Linked DNA regions of Mus musculus. The protein of the gene in region 1 interacts with the protein of each later gene in a pairwise test. Links are inferred from orthologs where the notes say so. Each region holds a gene or a part of one and is shown on either strand. Other genes may lie near its edges.

What was found.
Region 2: the proteins of Flacc1 (region 1) and Sult2b1 interact in binary tests that used the Homo sapiens proteins (3 or more experiments, as listed by UniProt). The two-hybrid records come from large-scale screens. The link is inferred for Mus musculus from reciprocal best matches to the Homo sapiens genes FLACC1 and SULT2B1.

The regions. Positions count from the first base shown.
Region 1 is NC_000067.6:58,668,490-58,671,989, reverse strand, and holds part of Flacc1 (flagellum-associated coiled-coil domain-containing protein 1), read left to right. Parts: intron 1-1,522; coding exon 1,523-1,620; intron 1,621-2,509; coding exon 2,510-2,562; intron 2,563-3,500.
Region 2 is NC_000073.6:45,739,679-45,743,644, reverse strand, and holds the start of Sult2b1 (sulfotransferase 2B1), read left to right. Parts: upstream 1-1,166; 5' UTR 1,167-1,284; coding exon 1,285-1,591; exon of another isoform or gene 1,592-1,683; intron 1,684-3,966. UniProt on the Homo sapiens protein: Sulfotransferase that utilizes 3'-phospho-5'-adenylyl sulfate (PAPS) as sulfonate donor to catalyze the sulfate conjugation. Responsible for the sulfation of cholesterol.

The DNA.
Region 1 (3,500 bases):
CAGGGTTTCTTTCTTTGTAGACCAGGCTGTCCTTGAACGCACAGAGATCCACCTGCCTCTGCCTCCCAAATGCTGGAATTAAGGTGTGTGCCAGCCACCACGTCCAGCTTGCTTTGTTGTTTTTATATTACTTTAAAGTTTTCAAGCAAAATTACCAGGAAGGTACAGAGCCCCCACATATCCCTTGTGTTCCACCCTATAGCCACCCTCGCTTTCAGCATCTCTGAAAAATGTTTTATGTGTTACAATTGATGGGCCTGCATTGGCACATCATCATCACCTGCTTGGAAGTCACTCCTGGTGCACAATATTCTATGTGTGTGAAAAATAAGTGTGTGTGGACGTGCATTCACTGTGAGAGTGCTGTACACAGTGGTTTCACTCTCTTAGTATGTATGCTCCAGTTCCTAGTCCCTCCATAGTCCCTCCCAAGGCAATGCCTTGAAACAACTGTCTCCATAGGCTTTCCTTGCTTGATGTTGGAATAACATCACATACGTAGTCTTTGCAGAGAGGCATTTTTCCTGTAGTAACGTGTGTTTCGATTTCTCCCATCTGATTTAAGCCTTTGGGCTCTCACTTTAGCACTCAAACACTATCAGCATATAAATCCTGGGATGGGAGCTAGATCTGGGGTTCTAAACTATTCTGGGTGCTTCTATAATAGAGCTGTAAGTAAAAACTATTGACTAAGAAGAGAGTCTGAGGTGCTTGCCTGAGCACTATTCAAAGAAGGGACTGTAGGAAACACCTCACTCAGAATAGAAACCATAAGAATACTCTAGGACATGAGGGCTCCACCTTGGTAAGGAGTGGGAGGGGGAGGGCAGGTCAGTGCAACAGCTCAACTCTACACTGTGTGTGTGTGTGTGTGTGTGTGTGTGTGTGTGTGTGTGTGTCTGAGTGTGTGTGTGTGTGTCTGAGTGTGTGTGTGTGTGTGTGTGTGTGTGAGTGTGCATGAGACTGTGTGTGCATATGTGCATAAGTATATGTATGCATGTGTGTACAAATGTGTGTCTGGATGTGTGTGTAAATGTGTTTGAGAAAGTGTATGTATATGTGTATATGAGTGTGAGTATACATGTGTGAGTATGTGTATGTATGAGTGTATGTGAGTAGGTGTGCATATGAACATGTGTGTGTATATATGAACATGTGAATGTGTATATGTGAGTATGTGTGTGTATTTGATCATGTGTATGTAGGTGAGCATGTGTGTGTATATATGAGTATGTAAGTGTGTATATGTGTGTGTATATGTGAACATGTGTATGTGAGCACATGAGTGTGTATATGTATGTATATATGGATATGTATGTGCATATTCCTTCTCCTCCTCCCCTCCATGTGCTTGGCCTCACTGTGTTTCTGTGGACCATAGAAGACAGCTTTTGGAAGCAATTCTTCCCTCCACTATAGATTCCAGGGATCAGATTCAGGTTGTTAGGCTTTCATGGCAAGCACCTTTACCTGCTGAAACAGCTTGTTCATGCTGAACTTCTTTTCTTGGATGGTCCCACAGGGAACTCAAAGAGACTCACAGAGAGGAGCTCGAGAGGTTAGAGAACAACTACAAGGAGGCCCTGAAGGCAGAAAAGGCCTTGGCCGAAGAGAAACTAGGTACTGTCGGGCCCTGGGGGGATGCTGGGAGGAAGGTGGACAGCCTTCCCTGGCATCCCTATAGCCATGGCTTGGCACAGCCAGATGTCCAACATTTCCCTTCTGAGGCTTAAGGCATGAGAATGACTGAGAACGGAACTGCTTCATCACTGAAGCAAGAACGTGAAATTTTTTTAAGTGCATTCTAAAGTTCTAAAACTACAATATTACTATGATGCCTTCAGGTTTTCTTGCATGGAGAATGGCAGTGATCTCTTGAATGCTCACTGGGCTACTGTGATTGCAAGGCTCTGTAGTGCATAGTGCTATGCTGACAGAATCTCACTGTTTACACTGCTCTTGGGGAAAGCAGAGTGTGCACCCTTCAGATTTGGGGTTTATAGACTAATGTCCACAGAGAGAACGAGACACTCTACAACCTTCTTCCTCTGTTTGAAGTTAGTGTCTTATTTACACTTTGCTTGTTTTCTAGTTTCCTGAAGAGAATGTGTGGTTTTCATAACCACTGTAAAGGAGGAAATGATACAAAAAGGAGAAGCAGATGCATTGTGGGAGGTTCTGTTCCTCCTTCCCATAGATACAGATGACCCTCGGGGGTGGGGGGAGGTTGTCTTACTAAAACAGCTGAACAGAGTGTGGGAACTCTGAGATCTTGGAGAAGCATGTTTAGAAAGTACCTGGCCTCTCTCCCAGAAGCTCTTCATCCATCGGTTCAGGTGGGATACAATAACTGATAAGATTTTTGATAAGCTTCCAGAGCGACTTGGGAATCCCAAGACGGTTTCATCACCTCAGGGAGAGCTTGGGTGTGGAGCTGAAGAGTTCATGTGAGTTTTGGAAAGTGTGCCCACCGAAGGAATAATGACATCCTTGTTTTCTTTTCCTCCAGATAAGATGAGCAAGGAATATAAGTATCTGAAGAGTATGTTCCATGTGTTTCAGGTGAGATTCCAAACTGTATGGTAGGCTCTGAGAGCAAGAGAGGTGAGGCTCCTTCCTGGCTGAGAACTTGAGGATGACTGTAGACCTGGAGAGATTCTAATACTTCCATCCACAGTGTCACTGCTGTGCCCAGCAGGAATGAGTCCAGTGGCTTCCATGTTTGCTAAACCAGCCATTCAACTCTGAAGAGGCCTGTTGAGAAGATGGTGTAACAGCTGTTCACTGTCTTCTAAAAATGAAGACTGGGAGGGGGGTTAGGGGCTGGAGAGAGGGCTTGACAGTTAAGAGAACTGGCTGCTCTTCCAGAGGCCCCAGGTTGAGTTCCCAGCACCCAAATGATGGCTCAAAACCACATGTAACTACAGTGCCAGCAGACCGAACGCCCTCTTCTGGCCTCCTCAGGCACCAGTCCCACAAACAGTGCACAGACCTACACACCGACAAAAATACTTACACACATAAAACAAGACTTTTTTTTTTAAGTGGAGCTAACCACCAACAGTTACATGGAAAAGAAGAAATTGTCACTCACCAGAGGCACCCATGCAAACTGCAGTACTTTGTTGAACCATTCACTGAGCGAATCTACACTTGTATCCTCTTTTCTCTTGGGCACTTTAGGTCTTTCCCTCCTTTGTTGTGACTGCCTCTGTGGCTTTGGGATATCACTGTCCCTTTCCCACTGACCACGTGCTATTAGAGTCACTCCCGGTGACAGAACACAGAACTTCAAACAGTGGAGTACTGGTCAAACAGTGGACATATTTAAGGCCTTTCAAAGATTTGATCAAATTGCCATCCAAAAATTTTATCTCATTCCACATTCTACAAGCTGAGACCTGAAGCCATTTCCTTTCATCCCTGTACCAGTTGGGTTTGTTGTCAACTTGACACAAAATGGAGTCATCTGGGGGGAGGGAGCTTCGTTTGAGAACTTG
Region 2 (3,966 bases), on another chromosome or scaffold:
GGGCTCTACCACTACAAACTTTCTTCTTTCTTTCTTTCTTTCTTCTTTTTTTTTTTTTTCGTTTTTCAAGACAGGGTTTCTCAGCCGGGCGTGGTGGCGCACGCCTTTAATCCCAGCACTCGGGAAGCAGAGGCAAGCAGATTTCTGAGTTCGAGGCCAGCCTGGTCTACAGAGTGAGTTCCAGGACAGCCAGGGCTACACAGAGAAACCCTGTCTTTTTTTTTTTTTTTTTCCGAGATAGGGTTTCTCTGTGTAGCCCTGGCTGTCCTGGAACTCACTCTGTAGACCAGGCTGGCCTTAAACTCAGCGATCTCCCTGACTCTGCCTGGGACTTAAAGTGTGCGCCACCACACCCCAGTGTCTTTTCCTTTTTGAGTCCAAATCTCCCTGTACTTTTGGAGTTGGCCTTTAGTTCTCTGTCCTCCTGTCTCAGCCTTTGGGAATGACCAGCGTGATGTGATCCACTGGTCTCACTCACAGAGGTCCCACCAGTCAGAGGAACGAAGCAGATGCGGCATCCAGAAGCCAGGCTGTTCTTAGGAACTTTTAGTGGGTGCGTTTCTTCAAAACAAAGCAATATGCTGTGGTTTCCTTTTCCCTCAAAACATGAAACCAAGGGTTGTAGCGTGGTGGTCGAGTGATAGCCTAATGTGTCAGCATCAAGGCTCAAGCTCCATCAGTACAAAAAAATCAGTAGATAAAATATGTGTCCCACATGAGCCTGGTGGCCCAAATCTGTCATCCTAGCTACTTAGGAGGCTGACACACAAGAATCAAAAGTTCAAGACCAGCCAGAACAGCTTAGTGAGACTCTGTCTCCAACAAATTAATAGAGGGCTGTGGGCGGGGCTCACAGTGCGGGGGGGGGGGGGATGGGGCGGGGCTCCGTAGTGGACCACTTCTTGCACCATTCTGAAAGGTCTAGGTTCAGTCTTCTCTTTGGAAACTCGGTTTCGTGGCTGCGTAAATGCGTCATGGCTTTGGGACAAACAGCTAGATCGTTTTAGCTTCTCGGTGAGTCATCGTGGGTTCTCACATGGGCTCTGCAGCGTGCAGCGTTGGCGGGGGCACCTGCCACCTTTGGCTTGGGTTCCTCGTTCGGAAAATGGCCTGATGACGTGGTGTCGCCCTCCAGGGTTGGGATGTGGAATAGACATAAGGAGAACACTTAGCTCCACTTTGCAGACATGAAGTACCCTTCCTCCTACCAGAAGCGTAGCTTTGGGCGAGTCACTCCCACCCTCCACGCTCAGCTTTCTACACCCATAGTGTGGGGGCGACAGTATGACATCACGGGACTGCTGTGGTGGAGTTGAAGTGGATCTACTCCTCAGGTGGACACACGGGGCTCAGAGAAAGGACACTCCTCACTGGCGTGTGAATGGAGGGCCCTGCGACTCTTGCCCACCTCCTTGGTCTTCTTTACACGTGCCCTTCCCCTCTTTCAGCTGGAATTTTGGAGGTGAATACTTCAGATACAAAGGTATCCCTTTTCCTGTCGGCATGTACTCACCGGAGAGCCTCAGTCTGGCTGAGAACACTAGCAACGTGCGGGACGACGACATCTTCATTGTCACCTACCCCAAATCAGGTACCGGTAGTGCTAGTCTGGGCTGGGGAGGAAGGGAGGAGAGAAGGGAGGAGGAAGGGGAGGAGCCTGCTTTGCAGAACCCGGCAGCTTGTCCTCTGCTAACAGTACCTTCCTTTGCACTGCGCACTAAGTCCCTGCTCCAGGGAGACTCTGAAGGCCTAGCTAATGTCCCCTCCCCTCTAGGGCTGCCACAGTGTCCCCAATCCTTCCCTGTCTCCCAAGCCTTCACAGCACTGAGTGCCACCAGCCGCGCATGGTTTGCTGGGTAATTTGTTCATTTTTGTTGAGAAAGGTTTTCATGTAGCCCAGGCTGGCCTTGAACCTCAGCTGGTCCTGCTGTCTCAGTGTCTCGGGTTCTGGAATGGCAGGTGTGTGCTGCTGGGCACAGTGTCACTGGGTAAACCTCTGCTTATCCACTGGAAGGTTAATCTGGCTCTCTCTGAGCGCTCTGTCTGCCCTGGCTGTTGCTTGTTCTCGGAACCGCGCGTGTCTGTGGAGGAGGTTCCTCATTTCGTGTGAATTCGCATGCAGACTACTCCACAGTCTTCACAGAGAAGGAAAGCCACTGCGCATTCTGCTTCTCTCTTTGTCGCTGTAATAGACCACCTGACCAAAAGCAACCGAAGGAAGACAGGCCCTGTGTGGCTTACACTTCCAGGCCCCAGCCTTATCACAGAGAAGCAACGCAATCAGGAACAGAAGCAGAAATCACACAGGATCCTGCTGTGACTGCCTGGCTCCTTAGAGCTTGCTCAGCTAACTCTATAAACCCCAGGCCCCTGCCCAGGAGGGGCACTGCCCTGAGTGGGCTAGGACCTTCTCTATCAATTAGCTATCAAGAGTGTGCCCCCGGGCAGCATATGTCTTTAATCTCAGCACTAAGAGGGCAGGGGCAGGTGAGTTCGAGGCCAGCCAGGGCTACATGGGGAGACAAATAGTAAATAAACAAAAAACATATTTAAACAAATAAACAATGATAAAAGAAGACAATCTATCACAAACATGTCCTCAGACCAATGGAGTCAACCCCCCAGCTCAGCTGAGATCTGGGTAATTCTGGGCTGTGCTGGCAGCTGAGGCGAACTAGGAGGGCTGGCTACATGGTGCACATCTGTAATCCCAGCATGTTGGAGGGGAAAGTAAGAGGGTCGGAGTTAAAGGTCATCCTCAGGTACAGACTGGGTTCGAGGCCAGCCTGGTCTACAGAGTGAGTTCCAGGACAGCCAGGGCTACACAGAGAAACCCTGTCTCAGAAAACCAAAATCAAGAAAAAATAAAATAACAAACAAACCAACCCAAAAAAGCCCTAACTCACCCCACCGAGTACAAGTATGAACCTTATAGATATCATGCTAAAAAAAATGGAGCCAGACACAAAAGGAATTACATGGGGCCCTTAAAATAGCCATGCTTGGTGGGGGAGGGGGGGAGCAGCTAGGGCGGTAACAGGAGTGAGATGGGGGCAGGGTGGGTGGGGCAGGGCCTACCTAAGGTGAGAAATGAGAGCATTTTTTTGTTTTGTTTTGTTTTTTTGTTTTTTGTTTTTTCAAGACAGGGTTTCTCTGTGTAGCCCTGGCTGTCCTGAAACTCACTCTGTAGACCAGGCCGGCCTGGAACTCAGAAATCCACCTGCCTCTGACTCCCAAGTGCTGGGATTAAAGGCATGCGCCACCACTGCCTGGCGAGGGCATTTGTTTAAGGATTGCAGTTTCTGTTGGAAAAAGGACAAGTTTGTTTTGTTTTGTTTTTTTGTTTTGTTTTTTTTTTGGGGGGGGGGTGTCAAGACAGGCGTGACTATTGCAAAACAACATGGTTGTCTTTAAATGTTGCCAACTCAACCTGGAACTTAAAATAGTCACAATGATGAGGTCCCCAGTATAGGGTTTCAAGAGCATAGAGAGGCAGCCGGCACAGGAGTGACCCCACCCTCTGCAGGGAAAATCACACACGCACACACGCGCACACACACACACACACACACACACACACACACACACACACACGCAGCCATGGATTGCGGGGCGGGACTTCCTTGCTCCTGTCTCCAGATTCAGCTTCACTGAAGAGGTCCTGAGACGTCCTGGTGGAGGGCTCTTGTCATTGTATATCCCCTAAAAGGCTCACAGATCAGGCTGGCGAGATGGCTAAGCGGGTAAGAGCCCTGACTGCTCTTCTGAAGGTCCTGAGTTCAAATCCCAGCAACCACAAGGTGGCTCACAACCACCTGTAATGAGATCTGACACTCTCTTCTGGTGTGTCTGAAGACAGCTACAGTGTACTTACATACAATAATAAATAAATCTTTGGGCCTGAGCGAGCAGGGTCCTGAATTCAATTCCCAACAACCACACGAAGGCTCACAACCATCTGTACAG